3 linked regions of the Xenopus tropicalis genome follow. The protein of the gene in region 3 purifies or fractionates together with the protein of the main gene of each other region. This does not show direct contact. Links are inferred from orthologs where the notes say so. Each region holds a gene or a part of one and is shown on either strand. Other genes may lie near its edges.

Region 1 (4,839 bases), on a different chromosome or scaffold from region 3:
GTGGGGTTAGTGGGCACCATCTTGCACTGCTTCAACTTTGCAGCAAACTTGCACCAGGAACATGTGCAGATGAAGCCAAAGGAGCTAGCCTTTCACTGTGCATATTCCCGGGCAGCAATCACTTGGAAGAGAAGCAGCATGAGATGGCACCCCCAGCCAGTGTGAAGGGGTAAGGAAAGTGGGGCAACAATATCAGGTGAGGGGTGGCTCTCCAGGGGTATTAACCTCTATAAATACCTTTAATAATCCTTTAAAGGACAATGAAAGGTTAATATAAATTAAAAGGAAGTCTAAAGGCATTTTTTTAAGTACTTACTGCATATCTAAATTCCCAGATCCCTGCTTGCTTCTCTGAGATATGGTGCTGGCAGCCTACAGCGGTGTGAAGCCTACAGTGACATCACTGAAATCTCTCTCCCCTTCCTGTAGGTGCCAGCGGCAGCCTTCCTATTCTCCGAGTATGTGTGTAACTTGATCCTGTCTCCTGTTCTGAGCTACACATGCCCACCAGCCAATCAGAAGCGGATCTGGCAGAGGGGAGGGGGGGAGGGAATGAAACACATGTGCAGTATGAAGCAAGGAGGGAAAGGAAGGGAGAATACCTTTTTAGAGATGGCTGCCTGTTCTAGAAAATGTGAAGTAAGTGTGACTGAGTAAATATTTGATTAGGTGAGCCAAAAGTGTGGCGTTTTTACTAAACAATAGGAGGACTATTGGGCAGTATGCTTTTTACATTTTGACTTGCATTCTCCTTTAAAACATGGTCCTACCAGTCACACTGCTACAGATCCACAAGCAGGGAAACAGTAACATAATAATTCTCCCCAAAATCTTATCCTGATGGTCCTATTGCTGGGCGCCACAAGGAGAGCCAGCACTACAGCGCCCTCGCCATGCAGCTAGCTCAAGGCACACATTGCATGTAGTGGGGAATAGGACAGGTACCTTCTGACACTGGCAATGGTTTCTCTGTTCTTGAAGCGGCTGAACCTGGCAGTGTAGTTCAGGGTTTTCATGAAGACCTCGGAGAGCTCCTGTTCTTCCTCCGCGCTCTCATTCTGTTGCTTTCTGTGCTCCAGGAGCATGTGCACCTCCGAATTCAGCAGAGTCTCAGCACTCTCAAACTCTACACAATGTAAAGAAGCAAAACCGACATGTAAAGGCCTGAACTGGTATAGGGACGGAATATATTACAGCCAATATTTTAAGAGATTTCCCTGCCATAGGCAATCAATGCATACATTTAAGCAGCTATTTGTTTTTTCTATACAAAACTTTCTCTTTCAAACCTTGCCGCCCCTTCCCCACTCACAAATAATACTGCACAATAAAACAGAGCAACAATAAATATTTATCACCTACATCCCATTCCTGGTGTTGAGTGGCACCCACATTTGACAACTGTAATATCTACCCAAACCTGCCCTATTAGCCCCATCTGACACCTACACCCATTCCTGCAGAAGACAGGGACAGCATGAAGAGTTAAAGGAACAGTAACACCAAAAAATGAAAGAGCTTTAAAGTAATAAAAATATAATGCACTGTTGCCCTGCACTGGTAAAACTGGTGTGTTTGCTACAGAAACACTACTATAATTTATATAATAAGCTGCTGTGTAGCCATGGGGGCAGCCATTCAAGCTGGAAAAAAGGAGAAAAGGCACAGGTTACATAGCAGATAACAGATAAATTCTGTAGAATACAATAGTGTTTTATCTGCTATGTGCCTGTGCCTTTTCTCCTTTGAATGGCTGCCCCCATGGCTACATAGCAGCTTATTTATATAAATTATAGTAGACTTTCTGAAGTAAACACACAACTTTTACCAGTGCAGGGCAGCAGCACATTATATTTTAGTTACTTTTATACACTTTTATTTTTTGGTGTTACTGTTCCTTTAAGAAAGCAGAGTCGGTGGCCGAGTCACTTCCGGTTCCAGGCACAAAGGTGACAGGCATACTGAGTGCCAACCTTTTCCTGGCATCGGGTGCCATGTTCCTCACTAGTGATCAGTTGCAGGCACCAATCAAGACCACTTAGTTGAAACCAGAAGCCATAAGTTATTACAGTCTGTAGAATTACATTTTACATTATGAATACAAAATACAAATGCCTTACGCATTTTGTGTTGCCAAGAGGCACTTAATCAATTGAGCCTATGATTGTGTGTCTTGGCAACACAAAACGCATAAGGCATTTGAATTTGTTTTGTATAAGATTGTAAAGATTTCTGGTTGGGTCCCAACCTGCAAATGTGTTCCTTGTAAACTCCCTCTGCTGAAGGTCTGGGACATGTGCACCTGGACCCACCCGTGCTAGCAGTAAGGATATTTGAAATTCATATGCCCCCCCCCCCCATACTCATATGGGGGGGCAGGGAACAGGTGGCTTTTGGCAGTTGGGGTGGTGGCAGGGGTCATACAAGTTAAACAATTAAAGGGTTTAATTCACCTTTAAAAAAAAGAAGAAAAGCTTATAAGAAGTAGGCTAGAAATGTTTTGTGCTTCTGTACCAGCCCAAGGCAACCACAGCCCTTTAGCAGGGAAGATCTGTGCCCCCAAAGGTGCCCCAGTAGCCAAAGTGCTCGCAAACATCTTTGCACGTACAGTAAAACATGGGATAAAAAGCCCTCTGTCCCAGCTGCTATGATAAACGTATAGCAGCCTATGGGTTACTCAGGGTACTGAATGGCAATGGGCTAATGAGGGGGGAGAGAGAGGACCCAGTGTGATGGCGGTAGCACTTGGGCTTTATCTTTCCGCAGGCGTTTGTGTTCTGCTGCTGCTGGGAGCTCTGTGCATCCCGCCAGTGTGTGCAGGAACATCCGGGGGTGTAAGGGGGGGGCTACACTATAGGCCTGAGCTCTATCACGTACCTTTGGGAAACAGTAATTGTGAAGCATCTTCCTCCGGGTCCCCAGAGTGCGCCTCCGCTCCGCCAGCAGCCATAACCGGGTCTCAGCGTCTCTAGTGACTACTTCCCATTACCCACAAGCCCCTGCTGGTTTACGTCATAGCACCACGTGACTGCGCGGGGCGCCTTTAACTACAGGGTCGTACTGCGGCGGGAATGTTGAATAGCAGTGTGGCTGGGGGAGGCCTCAGCCCGTAACCGATGTGGGAAATGGTAACGTTTCTTAAATACCTGGCAGGCTTATGGGTATCTTCGCACTGTTAGAGCTTCTCGCTGGCAGGCTAAATAGCCAGCAGCACCTGCCCAGGGCCCTGTTCCATACTTTTAAAAGGCATTTCTCTACCTGTGAACAGGTGCGTTAGCGTTATAGTAGTGGCCTTTAACTGGCCTGTAGGAAAGGCTGCATTCAGGGAGCATTATACAGACGCACAGTGGCTACACACGACACATGGGCAGCAGAGACTCCATGGCCTTACTAGTCACAGTTTGGGAAACTCTAGCTTAGCATTTAGGCAAGTGGAGGGGCTGGCGGAGCAGCTATCAGACTTTTAATGCAGGAATACATTGTACTAAATGGGCAGTGTTGGATTGTGCTGCAGCTCAGAGATACGTTTATTCAAGATAAAAGCTGATGGCGTCTGAAATACTTTTCTCTCATTGAAACACATTGTGTGATGTAGATGCAGGGACAAAACCCACCATTTGATCTGATTTGTGTTACAGCTGTGGGGATCAGGTTTGGTATGATCCTACACGATCTTGTGCTGGGTCAGATAATATCTGATCAAAATCTTCTGTGTACTTTAAATTAAAACCATACCCCTGAACAATGTAGGTCTCTATAAATATATATGGCACAATGCAGCTGTAAAACTGTACTTCATTTAGATCAACCATTTTCATACAAAATGTGTAGTAGCATGTTATGCGATGATCGATTGATCGAGCCTAGCCTTCTTTCTGTATGGAAGGAGTCAGGCTAGGCTCGATCAATCGATCGTCGCATAGTGGATGCAGCTCCTTTTGCCCTATCCCTGTAGTTCAATTGAGAGGAAGCCAAGTTTTAGCAGGTATTTTCTATTAAAGCATTTAAAATACTAAGTGGTTTGCAGGATAGGGCAGTTATTGGGGCAGGGTAGAATAGTGTTTTTACTTAAAAACATTTAGTGTTACATTTCCTTTAAGTACTACAGGCTACCCCATGGGATCATACAATTTATGAGTTAGGTCACATCAGCCAATGAATGGACAGAGTTCTATCTTTTACTCCCACACTACTTCCTGTTACAGTTAGAGCTGCATTATTTCTGGTCAGGTGATCTCTGAGGGAGCACCCAGCCCATCACTAAATGGTGGCTCAAAGAAAAAGATGTAGAAGGCCATTATTTCCTCATATGTATTGCAGTTTGGTAGGATTCTTTAATAGGCCATTTAATATGATATAATCTGTTGGTTAACTATTCATTCTAAAGGTATGTTTTCCTTTAAACTTAACTGGTTGCAGCACTTTTTTATACAATAACTGTAACCAAATGCTTTGATTTATCTTTTACATGGCTGATAAGGATTTCTAGCCCACTCTTCCTTGTAGCATTGCTTTCATCCATGCACATTGGTTTTTGTGCATAAACTGCTTATTTTAAGTCAGAACTTAGGCTTATACAAAACTAATTTTGTTTTTTGTCTGCCAGAACCCAGAAAGGATTGGCTCATAGACAAATGACTGGACTTTTTCCTGAAGATATTTCTGAAACAGTGCACAATTCATGGTACCTTTGGTCATCTCACAATTTAATAAACCATTACTGATCCTCAATTCAATCATTTCAATTTATTCTTAGCAGCATGGAACAGAAAACAATCGATTCCTTAGGGAAAGTGACAGTTTGTGCAAGGGGTATTGTTACCCTCTCCATCTCAGATG
Region 2 (5,011 bases), on a different chromosome or scaffold from region 3:
ACTCCTTCCCATTTCATTTCTCACTGCTTTCCTATGGCCAGGGTTGTATAAAGGGTCAATGAATTCAGGAGTAATCTCACATTCCTAAAGTGACCCACCAGCTAGAGATTTATTTAGATCTACTGGGAAAGACCCAGACCTGCAACCTGATCCAACCCCAACCTCCTATCATAATCATTGCCCAGACACGCCTTATACTGACACCCATGTCCCCCAAGCAGCACCCATAACCTTATGTACAAGCCCTACTTGCTACCAGTAAACTAACCAGCAGTTTCCCAGGCTCGCAGGATTCTACCTCCAGCCTATCAGAACTTTGCTCAGCCTTCAAGCCCAACGTCAATTCTAAAGGTGGCCATACACAGCCAGATCCTCTCATTCGGTGGGGTCACCAAACGAGCAGATCTGGGCCCACCACACTGGGTGGCAGCTTTTATCGGCCATAAATATATGTCGCTGACCAACACAAGTCAGTAATAGGGGGAAAGAATTGGGTCCAACTTTTGGCACATAAAATTAGCCAAAGGTTAGGATTTAAAGGCACAGTAACATCCCTGTCCTGCGATTATCAAGTCACATTAACAAATGAAACTTGGCAGGGCTTACTGGATTCCTATGTAGTCAGCTGCTTAGTAGTCATATCATGTCTGAGGGTTGGATAAATATTGAAATGAGGAGATCATACGGACGAGTATAAGCAGCCACTAAGCCCTAAAACGTGAAAAGCCACATTTATCCCAGAGGCTCCAGTTGGTCAGCCCTGCTTTCATTAAAGGGGCTCCTATAGTAAACACAAATTATCTATATATGCATAATGTACTATAAAGCGTTACTAGGGAAGATTCGGGCAACTAAATGGCCTGTGGGTCAGGTGGGGCCCTCCAATAAGTACTTAAAGCCCCCAGCCTAGGCAAAGGCTCCACTGCCTTCTTTGTATCATGCCATAATATCAATATAATCCATACCCTGTGTGTGATTGTTGTCCCACATAGCAGGAAAGTTATGCAGTACAAGTTGCACAGCACTGCTCCCAAACAAACATTAAGAATGCAGGAATTGTAGTTCATATCTGCTGGACAGACTAGAGCCTGACACCCCCGCCTTAATGGAACTGGTACAATCCTCTCTGCCTTTAGATTTCCCATTATGAGAGCTGTAGTCTCCTGCCGACGGCTGCACTGCTGCACAGACTACACGCTGCCATTTCTGAATGAAGGACACCTACTGGCTCTGATCCAGCTGTATCCCCCATAATGCAAATTCAGCAGTTTCTGTCATATACAGTTCATCCTTTAGCAATATTACATTGATTATTTGAGGCTGTGGGTTGGGAGAAATTTGCCATTTGCAGGCTTGGGCTTAGCACGTGATGCACGGCCCACACATACCCTGCGGCTTTACCCGTTTTACCCAGTGTGACATCACTTCCTGGCCCAGCTCCTTCCACCCTTATCATTATGACGACCCAGCTCAGCTACATCTGACTCTTCCTGGCCACTTTCTTTTATAAACTTGCCTCTAACCCACCCCCCTCTGGCAACATCAAAAGTGGGCAGGTAGGGCATGGGTTTATAAGACATGTTAACACAATGGGTCAGCCTGGGCTTGCGTGGGTTCAGGGCAGAAGCAGGTCAAAAACTCTTGTTTTCTCAGCAAATGCATATATGCTTGGTAGAAGAAACAGGAGGTAAGTGCACATTAGTACTTCCTGTGTCCTTGGCAGTGGACCCAAAACGGCCACCGCTAATGAGATGGAAAGTGCGATTCTGTAAAGGAAAAATCACATAAAGTGTTTCCATTGGGGCAAGAGTGGTCTACTCTTCACAGCAGCAACTTAAAGGAGAAGGAAAGGCTAATAGAGAGTTAATCTCAAGCTGCAGGCATACCCTCAGTTCTCTCAATAGTGCCCTTAAGTCTCCCCATATTTCTCCTGTTCAGATGATCAGAAGCCTCATAGGACAAAAAAAAAGGCTGAGTTCTTTAAAGAAAATTCCCATAAAGCCTCGCTCCTGCACCAAGACCAAGACTGGTGTACATGCTCAGTTAGTTAGACTATGAGTCAGCTTCCTGCTGATTGGCTCAGATCAAACATTCCTAAGGGGGGGGGGGGAGTTCTTAGCATTCTTGAGGGGGGGGACAGGAGAGAGGAGAAAGCTGCACAGACTCTGGCACAGGAAAACAAAGACAACAAACCCTGTTTCTTTTGATAGAGGACTCAGTGCAGCGTTTGTGTGAGTGCTTATGGCTGTATTTACATAGACCTTTCTGATAAAGCTTAACAGGAGCACCAGCCCGGGGTATCAGGTAAGTGATCTTAGTCACTTGGGCGGGGCGCTAACATTTTACCCCCCAATAATTCCCCCTTTCCTTCTTCTTTAACCCACCAACAGGTATTCCAAACCACAATCAAGTGTAAATAAGCCCTGCAGATATAAAGGGGTGTATTTATTAACATTGGAAGCCAACCTAACCAATCATGGGCACCATCCCCAGTGATGTTTGTCTCCAATGTTACCTGTATGGGGCCAAAGGGACACAGAATGCTACTGGCTGCAAAGGGAATGCAATAAAAGTACCTGCAAGTGGTGTCCAACTAAATGACAGTAAATACAAATACATTTATGCTACATACTAAAGCAAAATGACATTCCAGGCAACTTCCCATGATACACAAACACTGCTGGTTCCGACTGCTGAAACAGCTCAGTAGCGGGGCAGTGTTTCAGTTACAATGACCCCCAAACTAACTGTACCATTTAATGATGTCGTGCACCAGCGGTAGGAAGGTATACTCCTCTTCCTCCTCCTCTTCGGCAGCTTCATCCTCCTCTTCTTCCTCCTCCGGCTCCTCAGCCGGTCTCACATTGCCGCCGGTAGCCATGTTACTATCGCTGGCTTCACCGGCAGCACAAATACTGCGTCACAAGCTGTGCGTCGCGGCCTGTAGCTGAATACGGCGGTTTCGTAATGATGTCACTGGCGCGACCGCGGCTTGCGCGACGTCATAGATAAGGGCCCGTTCGGCTGCGCTAAGTTATTGACAAAAGGTTTCATTGTATATGGTGTTTGGTGATGGAAGTGATTCATTGAGGCGCCCTATTGCATGGGGCACTATAACAAGCAGCCCTTGTCACTTCAAAAACACCGTTGCATTATGGGATACGTTGTGACTAGTCCATATAGATTGTAAGCTCTACGGGGCAGGGACCTCCATCCTCTTGTGTCTTTGACTCTTAAATTATTGCAACTGTATCTTGTATTTATTTGTATTTATTGTTATACTTTGTATTTATCTATTATTATCTTAATAACCCCCTGTTATTAATCTATTCTTCTGTACTAGTGTGGTTACTGCTTCTAGCCCCTTTGGCGATTATAGACATTAGCATTAGAAACATATGTCGCTGGTGATGTTGCCCATAGCAACCAATCAGCATTAGATTTGAAGAGTCATAAAAGTTAGAAAACAAGAGTAAAACTCTTGATTTTTATGGGCAACATCAGTGGTGATTTTTGTTTCCAGCGTTAATAAATACTCCCCTCCATTTATTGACCAATAACCCTACTGTATCCATGGCCAGAGCTGTCGTTATAAGGTGGCGGATAAGGGACAGCTGCCCTGGGCTCTGTGCTCTATATACTTTTGTTCCCAAAAAATAGACAGCTAACAGCACTTCTGGTGTGGAAACTGTATGCACCAATTGCCATATTGTGGGGGTGTTCAGGGTGGCATAGCCCTAAAATTGAGCCCTGGCCATACAGCAGAGCCAGGGGCAGGTCTGGACTGGGATACAAAATAGGCCCTGGCATTTCCAGTACACAGAGGCCCAAACAGCCCCCCCACCAGCCCAATAAATAGCGACTGTCCATGGCATCCTACAGCAGCCCCTGAGGCATTTACTAGAACCCACTGATTGCCAGTCTGGGCCGTAGCTGGGGCTACAGATGGGTGAGTAGCTGGGGCTACAGATGGGTGAGTAGCTGGGGCTACAGATCGGTGAGTAGCTGGGGCTACAGAAGGGGGAGTAGCTGGGGCTACAGATGGGGGAGTAGCTGGGGCTACAGATGGGGGAGTAGCTGGGGCTACAGATGGATGAGTAGCTGGGGCTACAGATGGGTGAGTAGCTGGGGCTACAGATGGGTGAGTAGCTGGGGCTACAGATGAGGGAGTAGCTGGGGCTACAGATGGGGGAGTAGCTGGGGCTACAGATGGGGGAGTAGCTGGGGCTACAGATGGGGGAGTAGCTGGGGCTACAGATGGGTGAGTAGCTGGGGCTACAGATGGGTGAGTAGCTGGGGCTACAGATGGGTGAGTAGCTGGGGCTACAGATGGGGGAGTAGCTGGGGCTACAGATGGGGGAGTAGCTGGGGCTACAGATGGGGGAGTAGCTGGGGCTACAGGGAACGATTGTGGGCATCCCCTAAGGATGCGTTTGTTCTGTTAGGTTACACGTGTCCAGGTCTTCGAACGTCATTTTAGTGCTTTTGCATTTTCTAACGTTAGTGGCCCTTTAAAAAGGGGAACTTATACTTCAGCTACCTTCATTTAAAATGGCTCCCGACACGCTTTGCTCCCATTGCTCTCAAAGTACACGAGTTGGTGTGTAAGTGAACTAGTTGTGCATTGGCACGCAGCCAGCCTGTGTTCATTATCTCTCCCAGCGTGTTGCCAACATACCCCAAACACCAAGGGGATACAGGACCTGCGTTGGAACATGAAATACGCAGATAGAGGAATTTGTTTACGGATGGCTAGGACTTCTGTGATGCAATATGCCGGCCTAAAGGAAAACATGTTTCCGTGAATGAGCAATTAACCCTGCTCATTTCTGCTTCACTCACTGAAAACAGTACCAATACGGAGGTACTGGGAGCATTTTGTGCGATCCTTTATATAAATATATATATATATATATATAATACCCAAAAGCCATGGATATCCTTTAAATTATATCCTTATAAACGGTGCTTAGTGATGTCATCAGTTATAATCAGTGTTTAGTGATGTAAT
Region 3 (4,768 bases):
ATTTTTGAAGCAGATGGTGATGCAGTTAAAAATGATGAATTTATTTAGTAACAAGACCTCTCAAAAGGACAAGCCGTATGCATTTTGTACCTTATGGGGCACTTAATCATTAGCCTATGATTAAGTGCCCCATAAGGCACCAAACGTGTAAGACGTGTCCTTTTGAGAGGTCTTGTTACTACATAAATTCATCATTTTAACTGCATCACCATCTGCTTCAACAGTCCAGTCTTATGCCAGCCTTATTTGAAATCCAAGTGTGTCTATCACTTCCCCTGAGCTGAAGGTCTGGGGCTTGAGCACCCGGACCTCAAGAAACTGTTGGTGAGTTCTACCTTAATATATTGCATTTTTTCAATATTCATACATCAATAAGTTTTTAAGACCCAAACACAAAAACCAAGTTTTATGCAGATGGGAAGCTTACCAATTTTATTTTGACCACCTGTGCATCAACGATATCCACGAATACCATTGTACACTATAGCGCTAATGTCTCCTTGTTGAAACCAAGAATACTAACCCAAAACAATAATTATCCCCTGATCACTAGTCCTACACCAAACTAAGTTGTCTGGAACCCACCACCCCAGAAATGACTGCTTGACTGCCATATGTGAAGATGATTCATCATTTCAGAGAACCCATTTCCAGCTCCCTGCTGTCCAGTGTTATACAGCTTTACACAACAACTGGCAATGCATGGCACTCTACATGGTGATATTTAGCTTGTGTGCAGCTACTAATATTTCTTGTACTGATATAGGTTCCAGAGACAGTTTGGAACTCAGTAGAGAATGAAAAAACTGGTAATGAATATGTTTTAGAGGGCTACGTAGAACGTCTGCCTCTCCATATTTTCTGAATCTAACCTTTGTCTCTGAGATAAGGTTACAAGACAAACTAAATAAAACAAAACCCAGACAATTCTAACATATGCAGGTTGCAGGGCTGAAATAAGTGTAACCTGATTTCACTTGAATATATGGCAATATGTGTAGCACTTCTAGCTAACTTTTCTAAACAAACGTTCGATTCTTTTTCCTGCAAACTTACTCGTATGACTTATGAACTACAACTCCCAGAATTCCACAAAGAGTTCCATAGTAGTTCATAACGACCCACGGGTCGCTCTGTTTCAGTGTCGCTGACTGAGGTGATGTAGTTAAATAAGCCCCTCCTTCCAGCTAGGCTTATAGTCTACTGCACAAAAGTTGCAGGGTAGACAACAGTGTTTATTTTAAGTGATGCATCTTGCCTAGTAACAACTCAGGTGCCTAAAGGCTAGCAGGCGCACGGGCTGCCCCCTCTCTCCATGGATACCGAAGACGAATGACAGCTTTAAGTCGTGTCTGACACTTCCTACTGAGGGGGAAGATGAGAGACGTTCGTGCGTGACGTACGTGCTACCTAGGGGGACTGTGACGCCAGGACGCCGCTACCGTCACGTCACAAAGCGTGCAGCGGCGGACTTCCCGGCGTGCCTCGGGACTCCCGGTCGCTCGACTCCATCGGGAGAGACGCGTCTGGGAGTCTCCGGCTTTCTCGCTTCTTCGCTGCTCTCCCTGCGCCCGGGAACTCGTGTTCCTTCCTCCCAGGGAACATGCCGCGCCGCCCTCCGCAGTGATCCCCGGACTGAGGCCATGACAGCCGCTCCGGTAACCCCGCGGGAGATCAGGGAGAGGCTGCTGCAGGCCATCGATACGCAAAGCAACGTGAGTCAGGGGGGACAGGGAGTGGAAAGAGCGCAACACGGGGTTTCGGCACTTGATGAAACCCTCTGAACCAGCAGTGAGAAGCTAGACTAGGGACGACCGGGAAAGGGCTGACGGAGAGTGACTGGAGGCTGCTGTGACACTATCCCTTGATTATGGGTGGTTGGTGGCTAAGGGCTGGGGAAAAGAGAGGTGTCGTTACTCTGGAATGCACTTTTTGGCTCCAGGTTATTAGTTGAGGGTCACATGAGGCTGGGAAAGACCGAGTCCCCTGGAGCCAGAACGTGCAAGAGCCTTAGGGTGGTGGAGGCAGTGGCACTGACCATGCCGGGAGCTGAGAAGCCCACAGTGGAGTGCTATAGGTAAGGCAGAGCTCGATAGGAACAGCTAGTTGAGAGCCCCTTCTCTGTGGGTAGGTGAGAGACGAGTATAAAGCCTGAGAGCTGAGCAGGAAGTGGGCAACTGGGGAATGGAGGATTATGGGTCCCGGCGTTTATCTGGGGTTGCAGTCCTTTGTAGCAGGGACCCCTGGCGCTTGTTTTAGGCCATCTCGCGTTCTTAATCCGACTCTGTATATTCGAGCACATCCGTCCTTACTTTGTAGGCGAGGTCGGGGATAGGGCCTAGTCGCGGCCTTAAGTTAGCAGACTGCCCTTGTAGGCACCGGCACATGTCAGACTGCTGGCTAGGCTTGCGATGCCCGAGTCGGTGGGACTGCCAAAACACACTCCTTTGGCATATTCTTATGTTCCTGGCAGTGCAGATGTGTGCTTGTGGGGACAGGGTGCATTTATCTCATGTTGTTGGCATTACTCTGGTGTGGGCAGGCGGTGTGCTTGTTAAACTGAGAGATCTGTTCTCAAAGAAACAGAACAGGGAAAGTTCAGAATGCTATTTATTGTATTTCATTTAGAGATTTGTCATGGGTCCTTATGTGACCGATTTATCTTTGACTGAAGTGTATGGCATTTATAACTGCATTATATACAGACCTGTTGTTGTATGTGCTGTTATATTTGAGGTGTAACAACTCCCACAAATTAGAAGGCCAAGTAATTTGCAGTCAGCAATACAATTTATTGGTATGTCTCAAATTTGTAAAAGCTTTCACTGTTGTTTACAGTATATAATCTACTGCACTTTCTATCTTCTCTTGATACTTATTTTAGCATTGGCAGGATGCGTCGGCACCTATAGAGTTTAATTCTGCAAAGCACTTATGTAGCAAAAGTTTGAAGTACATTGCAGGATAAGATTTGTAACCATTATTAACATGTATCTATAAAGCATAATCTCTTTGTAAACAACTTCTGAAGTTTGAGGGTTTTTTTTACTGAAGCCTTTACTATAAAGAGTGAACACTACTATTAAATTGATAATAATCTATTGCTGAAAACCTACTTTCAGTTATAGCTTTAAATACATGTGTATTTCCTGTATCACTGGAGATATACAGCTTGTACATTTAGAAAGGATTTGGACCTTTTAATGCCAGAAGCATCTCAAAGTTATTTTGGGGTGAGGGACACATGGGTATGTACATACTGAATTAATTTGTGTCTTTAATGCTGACACATACCTTCTGAAAGTCTGTATTTGGTAGCTGTACTTTTGAAAGGCCTGTGTCTGCATGGGAATTTTTAAGCTGTAGGTAAACAAAAGCACATGTAAAAATAGATTTAGGCAACTGTGATAAAGGATCCTGGTTTCCAGAAAAGCATATATTGTTTAGGTTGGGTATGCTTTATATTAGAATTGATTTGTAATTTTTTAATATCTCACAAATAGTTAAATATTTATTGCGCTGTATTACACAGGTGTGAAAAATAACAACTAAAGGTGCTGAGCAGTACAGAGCTAGGGCTCTTTGATAGATGCATTAGAGGAAGGTACTTGTAAGTGTTGTTCCTTTCTTTCAGTAACCACTTTTGGGAGTGTTCGGGAAAAAAATCAGTAAATCGCTACACCTTTGGCTTTAGGTATAGTAGTAGCCCTATTGTAATCAGTTTGTTAGCCTGCAGAATTGTTCAGCAATTTTTAACCCTGGTTGCTACTTTGACCCTTTTAATGTTTTTGCATTTTCACTGGAGAACTCCTTATGAATCTCATATGATGTTATTGTGTAGTGCACAACATGTTTTAGAATAACGGGTTCTAAATGAAGAATCTGTTAATCCGAAAGACACTGTACACTACACCATAAAATTATTATAAACTGTCACAGTTAAGAGTTTTTTTTGTTTTTTTTTTTTATTTTAAACCCATAGAATAACTGAAAGATGAGATGTTACTTGTTCATGCTTTTTGAGAACAAGCATGCTGTTTTGTGTTTGGATTTTTTTCTGTATAGAGGCATTGCTTATGGCTTACTTTTTTTTTTCCTTATAGCTTATGAGGCACCTAGGTGACCTGTTCATACCTATGGTATGGGTTATGCTTTTATGCTGTTTCTTAAAGGGGTTTTTCACAGTTAAGTTAACTTTTAATATGATGTAGAGTGATATTCTGAGACAATTTGCAATTGGTCTTAATTTTTTTTTTTTATTTGTAGTTCTTTAGTTATTACATTTTTAGTTTAGGAGCTCTCCAGGTTGGAGTTGCAGCAGCTATTTGGTTGCTAAGGTCCAATTTACCTTAGCATCCAGGGAGTGGTTTGGATGAGACTGGTATATGAACAGCAGAGGGCCTGAATAGAAAATTTACAAAAAGTAACAGCAATAAAACTGTAACTTCACAAAGCAAGTGTTTTTGCAGTTTTTAAATGAGGGCCACTGACCCCAGCAGTGAAGAGTTTGAAGAAGTCATTCAGAAACTATAACAAATAAATAAGGCAGACCAGCTGAAAAGTTGCTTAGAATTGCCCGTTCTATAACATGCTAAAAGTTAACTTAAAGGAACAGTAACACCAAAAAATGAAAGTGTATAAAAGTAATTACAATATAATGTACTGTTGCCCTGCATTGCTACAACTAGTGTGTTTGCCTCAGAAAGACTACTATAGTTTACATAAATAAGCTGCTGTGTAGCCATGGGGGCAGCCATTCAAGCTGGAA

The links. Proteins that work in one complex are often made in the same cells at the same time.
Region 1: the proteins of med26 (region 3) and polr2d purify together in Homo sapiens (affinity purification with mass spectrometry; 3 studies listed by BioGRID and IntAct, with this or other methods). This does not show direct contact. The link is inferred for Xenopus tropicalis from reciprocal best matches to the Homo sapiens genes MED26 and POLR2D.
Region 2: the proteins of med26 (region 3) and med9 purify together in Homo sapiens (affinity purification with mass spectrometry; 6 studies listed by BioGRID and IntAct, with this or other methods). This does not show direct contact. The link is inferred for Xenopus tropicalis from reciprocal best matches to the Homo sapiens genes MED26 and MED9.

Annotation. Positions count from the first base shown.
Region 1 is NC_030681.2:125,371,665-125,376,503, forward strand, and holds the start of polr2d (DNA-directed RNA polymerase II subunit RPB4), read right to left. Parts: upstream 2,964-4,839; 5' UTR 2,951-2,963; coding exon 2,878-2,950; intron 1,127-2,877; coding exon 946-1,126; intron 1-945. UniProt on the Homo sapiens protein: Core component of RNA polymerase II (Pol II), a DNA-dependent RNA polymerase which synthesizes mRNA precursors and many functional non-coding RNAs using the four ribonucleoside triphosphates as substrates.
Region 2 is NC_030685.2:15,709,489-15,714,499, forward strand, and holds the start of med9 (mediator of RNA polymerase II transcription subunit 9), read right to left. Parts: upstream 2,964-5,011; 5' UTR 2,882-2,963; coding exon 2,754-2,881; intron 1-2,753.
Region 3 is NC_030677.2:112,239,042-112,243,809, forward strand, and holds the start of med26 (mediator of RNA polymerase II transcription subunit 26), read left to right. Parts: upstream 1-1,498; 5' UTR 1,499-1,643; coding exon 1,644-1,715; intron 1,716-4,768. UniProt on the Homo sapiens protein: Component of the Mediator complex, a coactivator involved in the regulated transcription of nearly all RNA polymerase II-dependent genes.